3 linked regions of the Caenorhabditis elegans genome follow. The protein of the gene in region 2 interacts with the protein of the main gene of each other region in a pairwise test. Each region holds a gene or a part of one and is shown on either strand. Other genes may lie near its edges.

Region 1 (4,964 bases), on a different chromosome or scaffold from region 2:
TGATAAGCCACAACTGATAAGCTTTAATTAGCCAGCTTCATTGGTCCCTACGGAACAGCTTCATCTATGCGAGGCCTAAAGATGCATTCGTTGGTTTCATTCGAATCGAAATTCTGAATTACTCCTAATTTTCCCCTGATTTCGAATATCTAAGGGAAAAAATTCAAAAATATTTCGGAACTCCCACGATCAAGCGAGATGGTATCCGGCTGGATTTAAATATCTTCTGATTGGACATATTGGGGGTAATGGGGATTTGATGAAGCTTATCTTGTTATGTAGGTTTAAGTTAGTGGGAAACGAAAAATTCAAAGTAAATTATCAAATTTTTCTGTAGAATAGGGATACGTTTTCTATTTATGTTCCTTTGCTTTTTCATAATAATATAAATAGCCTTTTCATTTTTCTCCACTCATATGTTAATGCAATGAAGACAAAAAATCATGTTTCCTTCCGCCAGATCTTTAACACAAAAATACGAAACATCCTAAGAACAAAAAGACGAAGACAGAAAATCAAAACATGTGACAGCTCATTGATCCGCCCACTTTTTTTTGTTGATATTTCGACGACATTCGGTTTTGCTCCGCCTCTCACAAAGTTTTGTATAAAATCACAGCGTCTTGGACAGATTTAGTTCATCCTTCTTTCCTCATACCGGGTATCTATTTATTTTATTCCAGCTCACCGTGATGTGTCCGAAATTACGGTAGTTTGCAAAATGCATACACTAGAGTAATTCATGTGTCTGATGCCTTAACATTTTCAAAGCGATGCTAGGAAAAATTGTCAACTGACAAAGTGTAGCGAATCTCACACCTGTTCCTGGGCATTCCTCTTTTTTTAACAAGTCGGACGATCGAAATTAGGTCTTTTCTGGTGTCTTTTAACATCACATATTCCTCTCCCTCCCTTTCAAAATCTCCCCGGCAATTGTTGGCTCCGTTAGTTTGGGTATTGTGCCTCAGATTTGCCTTGAATTTGTTAGTTTGCACATTTCTATTTTTAATTTCGAAAAAAGTTACACAGATCGAAACCACAATTGAACAGCTTTTCCTTTTTCGTTACGGTTAGAAAAATTCATAGGAAATGAATTTGTTCGCTGTAAACTTTTTTTTCGTATCTTCGTTTACGATAAAGTTACAACAATGAACTACGCAATGAAACAGTTGTCTTTGGTGACCTGGAAAAGGTCAGCTGTTATATATAACGCACGGAAATACGGAGATTAGGAAATAAACGGAAACTAACTTTTTCATAATATGTCGTTAATTATGTTAGTTGCCAATTTTCTCTAGTTTTATTCTGAAAAGGTTAGACTGTAATTCATCTTCAATAACCGAGAAGTTATAGAAGTTCTTACTTATTGATTTAGTTTAACCAACTTACTTGGTAAACTAACTTTCAGTTCCCAGCAACACATTTCAGCCAATTTTAGTGCCAAACATCTAGAAAATTTGTTCCATATTTGTAAAATTTTATAAAATTGGAAAAAACCAAATAAAAACTGAGTTAATTTGGCTATTTTCAATGTTTTTTGGTTTATATATTAGTATGAGAGCGATGGAATTTGCTGCTCCTTAACACCAAATTCGAAAAACACTCTTTTAAAATTAATTTTTCTTTCCAATCATTGAAAAGCAAAAAAAACTGTGAATTGTATTAAATCTCCCCTTCTCCATTTGAAATACCGCGCATTTCACCAACAATGGCCTAGAACCACCGGTGGCCGGGAGGCCATGGCCGAGTTTTGACCTATATTGATTTTTCCTTAGCAACCGGTTGCGCAACGCGTTTTGAAGTGTAAACTCGTGGTTTTTGATGGTTTTTCTTCGCGATTTTTACATTTTTCGTTTAAAATCGTTCATTAATCGATTTTTGTTCAGATGAGCAAAGATGTATCAATCGGGTGGATGTATGAAGGCGCTAAAGGAAATGTACACCGAGAAGACTATTTACTCGGAAAGAAAGTTGACAAGAACTTTGAAAAGTATTCCGATGTGGTGAATGCGCAGAAAGCAGAAGCAATCGATTCGATTGTTGGGACAAGGTGAGTTAAAACATTAGGAAATTGATTATTAGCAACAAAAAATCAATTTTTAGTTTTCAGGGCTGTCTTCAATTCCGGACAATCAACGGGTTTAAAAACTTCTTCACTTCAGAAAGATATTATCAAATCCGAAGATCCATTTGTCGCCGTCAAGGTTCGAGAAGAAACAAAACGTCGGGAAATCATGGATAATCCTCTCACAAAAATGCGACTTCAAGCCGCGCTGAAAAGTATGATGACCTCAAAAGCAGAGAAAAGTAAAGAGAAAAAGAGTAAAAAAGACAAAAAGAAGAAAAAAAAGAAGCGATCGTCGAGTTCCAGTGATGAAAGCAGTGATGAACGGGTAGAAAGAAAAAGAAGACGCTCGCCATCGCCGAAACGAAGAAGAAGACCCAGCGAGAAGCCCAGAAAGCGTTCTAGATCGCCCAGAAGAGAAAGACCAAGATCTCCAAAGCGATCCCGTGAAGAGTCCAGGTAAAAATTGACAATTTTGATATCAATTTATCACAAATATTTCAGAAAATTGTCCCGGAAACCTTCCAGTTCTCGATCGAAATCTCCAAGACGATCCCGAGAGGATCCCAGGTACGCATTTGTCGAGTTTTTTTTCTCATAGAAGATGATTTTTTTCCAGAAAAGTTGCCAGAAAGCCATCCAGATCTCGATCAAGATCCGCAGAGCGACTCCGCCGGAAATCCAGGTCTCCGAGGCGATCCAGAGAGGAACCAAGGTAGAAATCGCCGGTAGTTAGTCTAAAACTTCGTTTGTTTTTCAGAAAAATGTCCAGATCCCGCTCCAGATCTGCCGACAAAGCGAGCTCTTCAAGACAGTTTGATTCTCACATTCCACGTCACCTGCAGCAGCAACGAAGTCGTCATGATTCGAGCTCAGGCTCAGAATCTGAGCACGAAACTCGGAGCAGTCACCGCCGCCGGAATAGTGATGATGACGAGCGACAGGATCCGAGAAAGAAGTCATATGGCTTGGTTGAGGTGAATTCGCTGTTCTAAACATTTTTCTTACAGGAATTTTTAGTGAACTAGCATATTAGATTTTCCGTCAAAAAGTGAATTTTGCATGCTTTTTCAGATTTTTTCCTCGAACAATTCGAGGATTAACAATAATTTCAGTAATGCTGATCCTTTTTCAACAGTTTTCATCCCAATTTTATTTTTTTGTCACATTTTCACGAGGAGTTACAGGAATTTTCTGATTTTGAAGTGATTTTCTTATTTTAACACCTATGTTTGCTCATTTCTAACACAATTTACTTTCATTTTGCCCATTTTCCGTCATTCTCAAGCTATTTACACGTGAAAAAAGAAATCATCTGGAAATGACATATTTACTTCGAAAATCTGTATTCTCATTGAAATTGGTCAACAAATTCACTGATTTTATTTTTTGCTCCGTTTTCTGAAGTGGAAATGTCACGAAATTCGGTTTTTGATCGAAAAGCTTAAAATGAGAATCCTCCGTGTTTTCCCCATGATTTCTTGGATTTTCTATGCTTTCAATTCTATAGATGAAAGGAAACTATTGATTTTTTGACTCCAAAATTGAATTTCTTATATTTTCTCAGTTTTGAACAAGAACGTTATTTAAGTTTCAAACCATTTCCAAGTTATTTTTTGCGAAAAAATGCTAAAAGTTAAAGAAAAACGAATATTTTTCAATTAAATTTGTTTATTTCCAGATGCGAAAGCGAACAGCCGAGGAACGTGAAGAAGAGTCACGGGCGCCCACCAAGGAGTACAAGCTTGTCAAGATTCCCACAGGACGTGGTACCGGCAATACGCCAAGAGAGCCGCGACGAGCATTGAGTGAAGCAGAGAAGGCGGCTCGGCTCGCCGAAATGCAGCAGGACAACGTGAAATGGAGGGACGAGATTCGCGAGAGAAATGTCACAAAAGGACGGAAAGAGGATGATGAGGAGAAGGAAGAGGCGGATAAAAATGGATATGCTCCATCTTTTATTAGGTTTGTATCGAACGGCAGAGAAGAAAAGTATGCAGTTATTAAAGTTCTGGCTGAAATGCATGGTTTTGCATCATTTCCGTCTTTATTTATTCCCCAAAAGCTAGAAATTCCCTATTCCCCATGCATTTTTATCAGTGATCACGCTGGTTTTCACTTGGAACAAGCTTTTAATACAAAAACTGTGAAATTTCCTGTAAAATGTATTTTTTAATTACAGATCTCAAATGCGCGAAGCCTGTGACGATATGACAGTGGAGAAGCGTCTACAAAGTAATAAACGCGGTGTTCAACGAGCACACGGGTATATGGATCGGAGTTTTGCGAAGAAATGAGCAAAAATTGTTATTTTTAAACTCCCATGTTTTGTTGATTATAAAATATTGATTTTCTTGTTCTTTCCCTCACTTTCTCTTTTTTTATTATGGAATTCCGGTCGCAAACCGAGATTATTATCTTTTTATTGCTTTATTTTATTTTTATTCTCTTAATAATCATTCCAGCAAGTATCTCAGCCATGTTTAATGGCGGCTATGGATCTGGAAACAGCTTTAATCTTCAAAACTATGCACCAATCGATCCGATGAGTGAGTTCAACTTTCCACCTTTTTCTGAAATATGCCTTTGTTTTTGTTATTTTTCAACGGTTTTTATAATATTTCTATTCGTTTGAAATTGTTGAAAAATCTGTTCTGGTACTCTTTTCCTAAATTTTCTGCTTGATTTTTTGCTGAAAATATTTTTAAAATTAATTTTAAGAATGATTTTCGCTTTGGAATTCGGAAAAAATCTAATATTCGTATGATTTTCTTCAGAAAATGTTTGTTTCGAAATCGGTTACATTTTTCACTTTGAAATCCCGAAAAATCTTTCTAATCTGTGACCGAATCAAATTTTGATTTTTTTCTCGGAAAATTTAACAAAAATAAATCTAAAT
Region 2 (4,383 bases):
TTGAAGCCAATGATGGTTTATTTCAGCTATTTCAAATAAAAATGTTATACAATTTTATTTTTCAGGTGCATGGAAAGAGCGGCGATTCGAATTTCTGGTTGGTGAAACGTTTTTGCGCACGAGTCTAGCTGAATTCATCGAGGAATACGAAGTGGAAACGGTAAATTTCATTTAAAAAAAGTTTAGAGTTTTAATAAAACAAGCTCTGCAGGAAACAATCCTTAAAGTGGAATGCGTAATTGGAATTGAAGCTCCAAAACCACTTCATGATATCCAAGCGCCTGATTGGGTTTCTTCGGTACAAATCGCAAACGGCCAGTATGTTTTTTCCGCTTAATGTTTGGTAAAAGTCTCATTCTGAAATTTTCAGCATTTTCTCAACAACCTACGGAGGAGACATTGTAATTGTGGATCGTAAAGGAAAAGAGACAAAGTTGGCTGTTAATTCAGCAAATCGTCTTTTAAAGTGCATCTCAATCGTCAAAGCACCATCTAGTCAGTTTTAACACTAGTTGAAATTTAAAAAAACGATAATTTTTGTTTCAGAGAAAAATCAATTGGACGGTACAGAATTTGTGGTCGGCGGTGAAAATCAACTGCTGACTCTCTATGCAATTGAAAAAGGAGCACTTGTTGAGAAGGTTAGGTGTTCGAATTTCGGGGTTATCAGTTTTATCAATAAATTTTGTTTCGAAAATTCTTTTTTTTTATTTTGCAGTCATTACTTCATTCTTAATAAAAATTTTCCAGCTCATCCTTCGTGGTCATGAACGTGCCGTCGAATGTGTTTCAGTCAACTCGGATTCGACCCGTGCGATTTCTGGATCAGTCGACACAAATCTCAAAATTTGGAACTTGGATGCATCTGATGAAGCAACAACATATGAGAAAGAAGAAGAAGAAGAAAGTGCGAAGAAACGCCGAAAGAAAGAAACCAAAACTAAAGTTCCGATGGTTACGATTGGAGGGCATCGTGACAAAGTATCCGCAGTCGAATGGTGTCCATGGAATTCTGGACACGCATTTTCGTGCTCGTGGGATCATACTATTGTTGAATGGGATTTGGAATTAGGTTAGTTCTAATGATAAATATCCTATTTATATACAAAAAATAATTTCATTCAAGCTGGTGAAATTTCGCGGATCAAAGGACCCAAATCATTCACAAGCATTGATCTTCATCCGAAGAGTGATCTTCTCATCTCCAGTTGTACTGATGCTATTCCAAGACTTTATGATCCAAAAAATAGAGGTTTGTTTGTTAATATTTATTTAGTCTCTTGTATTTATAAAACATTTCAGATGGAAGTATGGTTAAACAATCATTCATTGGACATCAAAATGGATGGGTTGAAGCTGTCAAATGGAATCCGTTGGATACAAATCAATTTGTTAGTGTTTCCACCGACAAAACTGCGAAAATGTGGGATGTAAGGTAGGTCTTGTTTCAAAAATTAAAGAACCATTCAGTTTTTACTTTAATATTCGGTTTGTTTCAGATCCTCAAAGTCTTCATTGTTCGACATTCATGGACACGATGATCGTATTTTGTGTGCCACGTGGAATGAAGGACTAATTGCAACTGGATCCGCAGACTGCACAATCAAAATCTTTGAGACTGCTTGATTTGTTTTGTTTTTTGTTATTCTACAAATTCTTATATTGTTTTTTTTTCTATATACCGCGTTTTCTATTTGTTGATTTTGATTTTTTGTTGAACTTTTTATGAAGTTATCCACTTGAATTTATTTTCCATTACCTTCTGACAGTTTTGAACTGTGTTAAATATTTCAATTATTTTTCTTTCTTCAATTTTTCATTCAAGTATTTTCAGAATTTTTCAGTGAGAATCAAAACAAAAGCGTTGCAAAATGGGGAAGGGTTTTCAAAACTTCATGTCCAAAAAGGACTTCCATCCATCCGCTTTTCGGAATCTCAAAATGGTCTGGGAAGCACGACAGAAGAAGTCTTTGGAGGACAAACGACAAGAAGAACTTCGAGTTGCTTATGAGAAAGAGCAAGAAATTTTGAATAACAAGTATGTTGCATTCAATATCTTCTCACTAGATTATAAATATTTTTCAGAGCTCTTCTTGGAGACGAAAAGGCCAAAATGGGATTATCGTTCATGTATGATGCTCCAGCTGGAATGACAAAGAGAGAAGAACCGAAAGAAGAGCCGAAATTCGAATGGCAACGGAAATATCAAGCACCACGTGAAGATTGGGCTAAAGGAAATGAAGAGATCCAAGATCAACCATTCGGAATTCAAGTTAGAAATGTTCGATGCTGTAAATGCCACAAATGGGGTCATATAAATACGGATCGAGAATGTCCATTGTTCGGAAAATCTGGAAATTTTGAAGATGAAGGATGTAAGTTTCCGAAAAAAAATCGAATTAAATGTGTAAAATCAATTTTCAGATGCAAATAATCCATCAGACCTAATCAAAGATCTTCGTCGGAGACGACAGGAAGGCAAAGCAGGACCTTCAACATCGAAATCGTCTGCTGCTGCGGCGACAGGAGAAGATGACGATGAGGATGAGTGGATGGATCATCAGCAACTTGCGAGTGATATGCGTGAAGAACATGGAATCAAACTCAAAAGTTCTGTTTTGGCTGGAATGCAGACAGATCAACAGCTAACAAGAATGAAAAAAGAAATGACCGAAGAAGAAATGATGCTGGAGTTTTTCAATTCGATGACTGAAAAGGAAAAAAAGAAATTGCATAAGAAGCTGATGAGCGGTGCAGATTTGGAAGATGTAATGAAGAAGAAGAGTAAAAAAGAGAAGAAGAAGGAAAAGAAAGAGAAACGGAAGAATAAAGACAAGAAGAAAGATAAGAAGAAAAATAAGAAGAGCAAATCTCGTGAAACTGATGACGATTCTGATGGCAGCGATAGTGAGGATGATTGGAAAGGTATTTAAAGATGAGGTTTTTACATAATTAATTTGATCCTAAACACTTGTTCATTGATATCAAATATTAACGAAACGCTTAGAGTAGTTATTAGTTTCTCGATTTTTCAACCAGTTCATGTTTCAGAAAAATCATCGAAAAGGATCAAAAGAGAAGTGGAAAGTTCTCCGGAATACAGATCGAAGTATATCAAGCAGGAAGTTTTATCAGAAGACGAGAATTCCCATGGAAGAAAGGATTCGAGCCGAAAAAGAGCGCATAATGATTCAGAATCGTCAAACGAAGTAAGATCGTCAGAGAGGAAGAGATCTCGAAGAGATGATTCTCCGAACGCCAAAAGAAGTATCGGGTTGAAATCGCCGGAGAGGAGAAGCTCACGAGATCGGAAATCTTCACCCAAACAACGTCAGGATTCACCAGTGAGAAGACGGCGAAGTCCATCGTCGATTCGGAAGGAAAGTCAGCGTGTTCGTAAACATTCACCAGAACAAAAAAGAAATGGCCGTCATGATTCACGATCAGTGTCCCCTGTTAGAAGACGTCGTTCTCCGTCTCCTGACAATCGTCAGCTGGGTTCGAGAAAACAATACTCGCCACTGCGACGTCGCCAATCATCTCCGATGGTTGCATCACCAAGAAGACGTAGATCTCCATCACCAGAACGACAGCGCAAGAGACGTTCACCATCCGATTCCCCGCCAACAAGGCGTCTTTCTACGTCACCGATCCGACGTCGTAGAAGTCCATCGCCCAACAAGTTGCCTGTGAGAAGGCGTCGTCATGATTCCGGATCGCCTGATCGTGATGGATCTGAATCACCGAAAATGTGGAGAAAGAAGTCGCATAAATGAACGCTATTCAAATCAATTTTTAAAATTATTAAATGTGGTTTTCTTTTAAATTTTTTCCGTCATGTCTAATAAAGTATTTTCACACATTTTTGCTGTTTATAAATTTCTTGTATTTGGTGTTTTATAAATAATATTCTTAAGAATATTCTTCAATGGAAATGTTTTTATCTCTCATTGCGATACTTCTAAAATCCGCAATTGCGTCAACGCACGAGAATTGCGCCAATGAAGATTCTTAGCGCGGAATTCGTGCTTTGTATTTTATATAAATAAAATATATTTTAGTTTTCATTATTTCTTCCATTTTCAGCTTGTTTCATTGAAGTCTTGCCATTCACTATGGACACTAATTTCAAGGTAATTATTTGAAGCGTTAATTATTCAATTAATATTCCACCAAACCCATTTTAGTTGTCCAATTGCATTGGTACAGTGTATCGAGACGGTCAAGTGGCGTTCAGCAAAGATGGATACTCAGTGATTTCACCTATTGGCAACAAGCTATCAATTTTTGATCTCAGAAAGTAAAAAATAATTTTATATTCACATTTGATATATAATTTTTCAGCAATACTTCAAAAACATTGGATATTGACTGCAATTACAA
Region 3 (5,688 bases), on a different chromosome or scaffold from region 2:
GTGTACCCGTAGTTAAAGAAGCGGAGAAAGATCATATGAAATTCGGAGGGTCGAGGCGATAGAGTATTGCGAATCGAGAATCTTTGAGAAAACGCGCGAGTTTTGCCGCAGCGGCGACGTGTCGCCAATTTTTCCAAATTTGAGATAATTTGTAGTCCGAGTTTTTCCACCTGCTGATTCTAGTGTTATAGCTTTTATATGACGTTTCATCCATCTGTTTCGACAATACAGTAACCCGTCGAGAATGAATATTCGGTTCTCTATTTAGCTGCAATTGAATCTTGAAAACACAAAAATTTCAAATTGAGCGAATGTGTGGCTGAGAACCAACGTTCACTCCCTTGCTATCGAAACTGCACCTGTTGCGATTTCGTGGCGAGACCCGAGGAAATACTCAATTAATAAATACAACGGTGTCAATCCCACATTGACTGATCTTGCAAATATCTTTCTTCATTGTGTCACTTTTTTTCAGAAATGCAGTTTTTCCATTAGTTTATAGTGCCCAGCGAGTAGTATATCCTCAGAAATGTTGATCCTCATGATTATAAGGTCATTATCGTTTCAAAACATGAATAGTCATAACTTTTCTCTCACAAACTTTTCGAATGTATCCTAGAACTGCTGAATCTCACAGAAACCTAAATTACGAAATCAGGTTCTAATTTTTATCAAAAATTTACAAACCTACGAGAATTCGATTTAACTTGAGAATGAAGAAAGACGCCAACTTCAATTGAAATGCACCGAATTTAGTTCAGGTTACTATCATTTGTATTCTAGATGCAAAGGAATTCACACTTCCAGCTGATATAGCGCTGATCCTAACACGATCCTTTCAACATCTTAGATTTTCGTTTAATGTTTAATCGGAATTTATATTTAAGGCCTGTAGAAATTTCCTAGAAAACGCTATAGAAATATTTAGCTGATTCTCAAGTTTTAGGAACGGGCGTCTTCCTGGTAGAAGATAGTTCGCAGCCCATAAAGACAGCACCCGGCCTAACCGACAATGGCGGTTATGAATTTTTAGACCATTTAAGGTTATGATGGCGAGACCACAACAACCCGTCGCCACGCACGTCACGCTCACAAAACACTCATTCATGCGCTCACGGAACGCTCACACACTCATGACATACACACATCATTTCGCCTCACACACCGCGCCGTCGCCATCCGCACCGCCCGGGTGGGACGTGTTCAAACTTTTCGGTTTTCGTAATTAATAGTGAGCCCCGGTTTATTCGCTTTGAGAATCAGTATAATGGATATATCAGATTGTGTAATTAGGTTGCGTGCTTGAACTTTTAAAATTAACTGTTTTAAATTTATCTGCCTTTATCGTTACAGTAAATCATTTTGATGAACTTTTCGGATGAATCATAATGAAGTACGCAGCGCTCTAACAAAATGTGTTTGTAAATTCCAATTGCTACAAGTTGCCCGGCTTATTTTTTGGTGATTGAAGCATGATTCTGTTGACGCTCCCGACGCGGAATACCAGGACGGACCGATGAGAGAGTACTGCCAGTGAAGAGACGCATGCGAGCAGGACGAGTGCTGCTCACCCTTCTTCTCAGCGTCGGCGGCTGCGACCAGCGGCCGAGGAAGGGGAGGAGAGAGGCCGATTTGGCTGCGTACCACGTTTGATACTCAGTCACTTACCACAGCTGGTTCTCTTGTGCGTTCAAATCTGGCTTGCCGCGCGCGCGCATTTTATTCCTACCAGTTTGAATCTCCCACCTCTCCGACTGTAACTGTCCTAATTTGCTTCCTTCTCATCACTCTCTCTTTGCCTATTTCTCACTATCTAGACTCTATTTTTCCAGAATGGTCACCGCCGACGAGACGGTACTCGCCACAACGACCAACACCACTTCCATGTCTGTGGAACCAACGGATCCGAGAAGCGCTGGTGAATCGTCCTCAGATTCGGAGCCAGACACAATTGAGGTGAGGAAAAGTTTTGGGAATTTAAATCTGAATAAAACGTTTTCAGCAGCTGAAGGCAGAACAGCGCGAAGTGATGGCCGACGCGGCGAATGGTTCCGAAGTCAACGGAAATCAAGAGAACGGAAAAGAGGAAGCGGCATCTGCAGACGTGGAAGTGATCGAGATAGATGACACCGAAGAGTCTACGGATCCCTCACCTGATGGATCTGATGAAAACGGTGATGCTGCATCTACATCGGTTCCAATCGAAGAGGAAGCGCGTAAAAAGGATGAGGGGGCTTCCGAAGTGACTGTGGCATCATCTGAGATTGAACAAGACGATGATGGCGATGTTATGGAAATCACTGAGGAGCCGAACGGAAAGTCGGAGGATACTGCCAACGGAACAGGTGTGTTTTATAATTTTACCAAGTTTAATTTTAACTTTCTATTTTCAGTTACTGAGGAGGTGCTAGATGAAGAGGAGCCAGAACCTTCCGTAAACGGAACAACTGAGATCGCTACAGAGAAAGAGCCAGAAGATTCTTCAATGCCTGTCGAACAGAATGGGAAGGGTGTGAAGCGGCCTGTCGAATGCATCGAACTCGACGACGACGATGATGACGAGATTCAGGAAATTTCTACCCCTGCCCCAGCTAAAAAAGCTAAAATTGATGATGTCAAGGCGACAAGCGTTCCAGAAGAGGACAACAATGAGCAGGCGCAGAAGAGATTGCTCGACAAGCTGGAAGAGTATGTGAAGGAGCAGAAGGATCAACCATCCAGCAAAAGCCGAAAAGTTCTGGACACTCTTCTCGGAGCAATCAATGCGCAAGTTCAAAAGGAGCCTCTGTCGGTTCGGAAGCTGATCCTGGACAAAGTTCTCGTTCTCCCAAACACAATATCATTCCCACCAAGTCAAGTTTGCGACTTATTGATTGAGCACGATCCCGAAATGCCTTTGACGAAGGTTATCAACAGGATGTTTGGAGAAGAAAGACCAAAGTTGAGTGATTCCGAGAAACGAGAGAGAGCTCAGCTGAAACAACATAATCCTGTTCCAAATATGACAAAACTGCTCGTGGACATTGGACAGGATCTCGTTCAAGAAGCTACCTATTGTGATATAGTTCACGCGAAGAATCTTCCAGAGGTGCCAAAAAATCTTGAAACCTATAAGCAAGTCGCTGCGCAGTTGAAACCAGTTTGGGAGACATTGAAACGCAAAAATGAGCCGTACAAGTTGAAAATGCATCGATGCGACGTCTGTGGATTCCAGACGGAATCAAAGCTGGTTATGAGCACTCACAAGGAGAATTTGCACTTCACAGGATCCAAATTCCAGTGCACCATGTGTAAAGAGACGGACACGAGTGAGCAAAGAATGAAGGATCACTACTTGTAAGTTTTTTTTTTTTCATCTTTCAATATTCATTTAATTACAGCGAAACTCATCTTGTTATTGCAAAATCGGAAGAGAAGGAGTCCAAGTATCCATGTGCAATCTGCGAAGAAGACTTCAATTTCAAAGGTGTCCGTGAGCAGCATTACAAGCAGTGCAAGAAGGACTACATTCGCATTCGAAACATCATGATGCCGAAGCAAGACGATCATCTCTATATCAACAGATGGCTCTGGGAGAGGCCCCAATTGGATCCCAGCATTCTTCAACAGCAGCAACAAGCTGCTCTTCAGCAAGCTCAACAAAAGAAGCAACAGCAACTTCTGCATCAACAGCAAGCAGCACAAGCTGCAGCCGCTGCGCAACTCTTACGGAAGCAACAATTACAACAGCAACAACAACAGCAACAGGCTCGTCTTCGTGAGCAACAGCAAGCGGCCCAATTCCGGCAAGTGGCTCAACTGCTGCAACAACAATCAGCGCAGGCTCAACGTGCACAGCAGAATCAAGGAAATGTGAATCATAACACTCTGATTGCAGGTAATAGCTAAACATATTTTAAATAAGTATTTTGTATAATTATTTATATTTCAGCAATGCAAGCGTCGTTGCGTAGAGGTGGTCAACAAGGAAATTCGCTGGCAGTTTCTCAACTTCTCCAAAAGCAAATGGCAGCTTTGAAGTCGCAACAAGGAGCTCAACAACTTCAGGCTGCGGTGAACTCCATGAGAAGCCAGAACAGTCAAAAGACGCCAACACACAGAAGTTCGAAACTTGTTACTACGCCGTCTCATGCTACTGTTGGCTCTTCTTCAGCTCCCACGTTTGTATGCGAAATTTGTGATGCGTCAGTGCAGGAAAAGGAGAAGTATCTACAGCATCTTCAGGTAATTTTAAGAAACGTTTCTATTTCAATTTCAAAACCGATTATTAAATATCTTAAACATCACATTTTCAGACTACTCATAAGCAGATGGTTGGAAAAGTGCTGCAGGACATGTCGCAAGGAGCTCCACTGGCATGTTCTCGATGCCGTGACAGATTCTGGACTTATGAAGGGTTGGAGCGGCACTTGGTGATGTCGCATGGTCTCGTCACTGCTGATCTGCTCCTCAAAGCGCAAAAGAAGGAAGACGGAGGTCGATGCAAGACATGCGGCAAGAACTATGCGTTCAACATGCTTCAACACTTGGTAGCTGATCATCAAGTGAAGTTGTGCTCGGCTGAAATCATGTACTCGTGCGATGTGTGCGCGTTCAAATGCTCGAGTTATCAGACTCTGGAAGCCCATCTCACTTCAAATCACCCAAAAGGAGATAAGAAGACATCAACACCAGCAAAAAAAGATGATTGTATTACTCTGGATGATTAATAGGAAAACGAATGGCTTATCCCGTTCTACGAATGAGTGCTGGAAACATTCTTCACAATGATCTCAATTATTTCTCTTATTCTTTACATTCAATCATTTTAAATCACCAGTTCTCCCACTTTCATTGATATACACATTCTATTGCGGGTTCCGGAACCGAAATCAATCAGTACTTTACTTTATTTCCCCAATTTTTCTCTTCATGATATCTGGTTTATTCTCGCATCTTCCCCTACCTTCAAAACTCCCTATTTTTTTTTCAAAACCTAACTACCCCACAATTATCATGTAAAATCAAATTGCAATTCCCCATAAGACAGATCAGTATACACTTTCACTTCATACGTCTGTTGTTCTCCCCCATCTCATACTTTTTTTACCATTTGTCCAGTTAAGATTTTTGGAAGATATCTATCATATAAATATTATCACCTTTACAAACCATTCTTTTTGAAACTATTTTCAGAAATAAGATTCAGATTTTCTCATAATATTTGGAGGAATCTATTTCAACAGATACGAAAGATATTCAGACAAATGACAGACTCCGTTGAAATCTGTGCTGCTGTCATCACCGGTTTTGAAAAAGTTGCAGCAAAAGAGGTAAATCCTGAAAACTAGATAAAATATCTTACTCGAGTTCCTTCAGATTTCAAAATTATTTTCGCCTAAAAAATGCCATCCAGGACGTGGAAATGTAAGATTTTCAATAGATCTGGAACGTGTAAACGAGACTCTGCAACTTCGATCAATCGATAATCTTTATATGGTTTTTTATGAAGAAACAATTGAAAAGCTGTCTGAAATGCAAAAAGAAGATGCATTGAAAACTATTCAATCGCAAATTTCATTTTGTAACTGGAAATTGGCAATTGAAGCTTATCAATTGGCACGTGGAAACGCGATTAACGGAGGAAGTGAAAAGATTTTGAAACAGATTCAACAATTTAAAAAAGATCGAATATATAGTGAAGTTACG

What was found. Proteins that work in one complex are often made in the same cells at the same time.
Region 1: the proteins of cir-1 (region 2) and mog-3 interact in a two-hybrid assay, tested with the Caenorhabditis elegans proteins (one study listed by BioGRID).
Region 3: the proteins of cir-1 (region 2) and mep-1 interact in a two-hybrid assay, tested with the Caenorhabditis elegans proteins (one study listed by BioGRID).

What each region holds. Positions count from the first base shown.
Region 1 is NC_003281.10:5,306,716-5,311,679, forward strand, and holds mog-3 (Pre-mRNA-splicing factor CWC25 homolog), read left to right. Parts: upstream 1-1,886; coding exon 1,887-2,050; intron 2,051-2,110; coding exon 2,111-2,524; intron 2,525-2,569; coding exon 2,570-2,635; intron 2,636-2,684; coding exon 2,685-2,780; intron 2,781-2,825; coding exon 2,826-3,042; intron 3,043-3,746; coding exon 3,747-4,030; intron 4,031-4,247; coding exon 4,248-4,362; 3' UTR 4,363-4,421; downstream 4,422-4,964. Other genes in the region: Putative RNA exonuclease pqe-1, read left to right, coding at 4,545-4,614.
Region 2 is NC_003279.8:5,653,309-5,657,691, reverse strand, and holds cir-1 (CBF1-interacting co-repressor CIR N-terminal domain-containing protein), read left to right. Parts: upstream 1-1,834; 5' UTR 1,835-1,871; coding exon 1,872-2,038; intron 2,039-2,085; coding exon 2,086-2,375; intron 2,376-2,424; coding exon 2,425-2,925; intron 2,926-3,051; coding exon 3,052-3,776; 3' UTR 3,777-3,864; downstream 3,865-4,383. Other genes in the region: wdr-12 (Ribosome biogenesis protein WDR12 homolog), read left to right, coding at 1-15, 66-160, 212-318, 371-495, 547-641, 751-1,072, 1,127-1,252, 1,303-1,435 and 1 more; F55F8.3 (Periodic tryptophan protein 2 homolog), read left to right, coding at 4,116-4,133, 4,188-4,300, 4,345-4,383.
Region 3 is NC_003282.8:11,522,810-11,528,497, forward strand, and holds mep-1 (MOG interacting and ectopic P-granules protein 1), read left to right. Parts: upstream 1-1,832; 5' UTR 1,833-1,833; coding exon 1,834-1,956; intron 1,957-2,002; coding exon 2,003-2,345; intron 2,346-2,393; coding exon 2,394-3,336; intron 3,337-3,380; coding exon 3,381-3,877; intron 3,878-3,931; coding exon 3,932-4,224; intron 4,225-4,295; coding exon 4,296-4,709; 3' UTR 4,710-5,145; downstream 5,146-5,688. Other genes in the region: thum-3 (THUMP domain-containing protein), read left to right, coding at 5,247-5,312, 5,359-5,688. UniProt on the Caenorhabditis elegans protein: Has a broad role in development, specifically in the genetic pathway SynMuvB that negatively regulates specification of the vulval cell fate. Required for fem-3 3'-UTR-mediated repression in the regulation of the sperm/oocyte switch.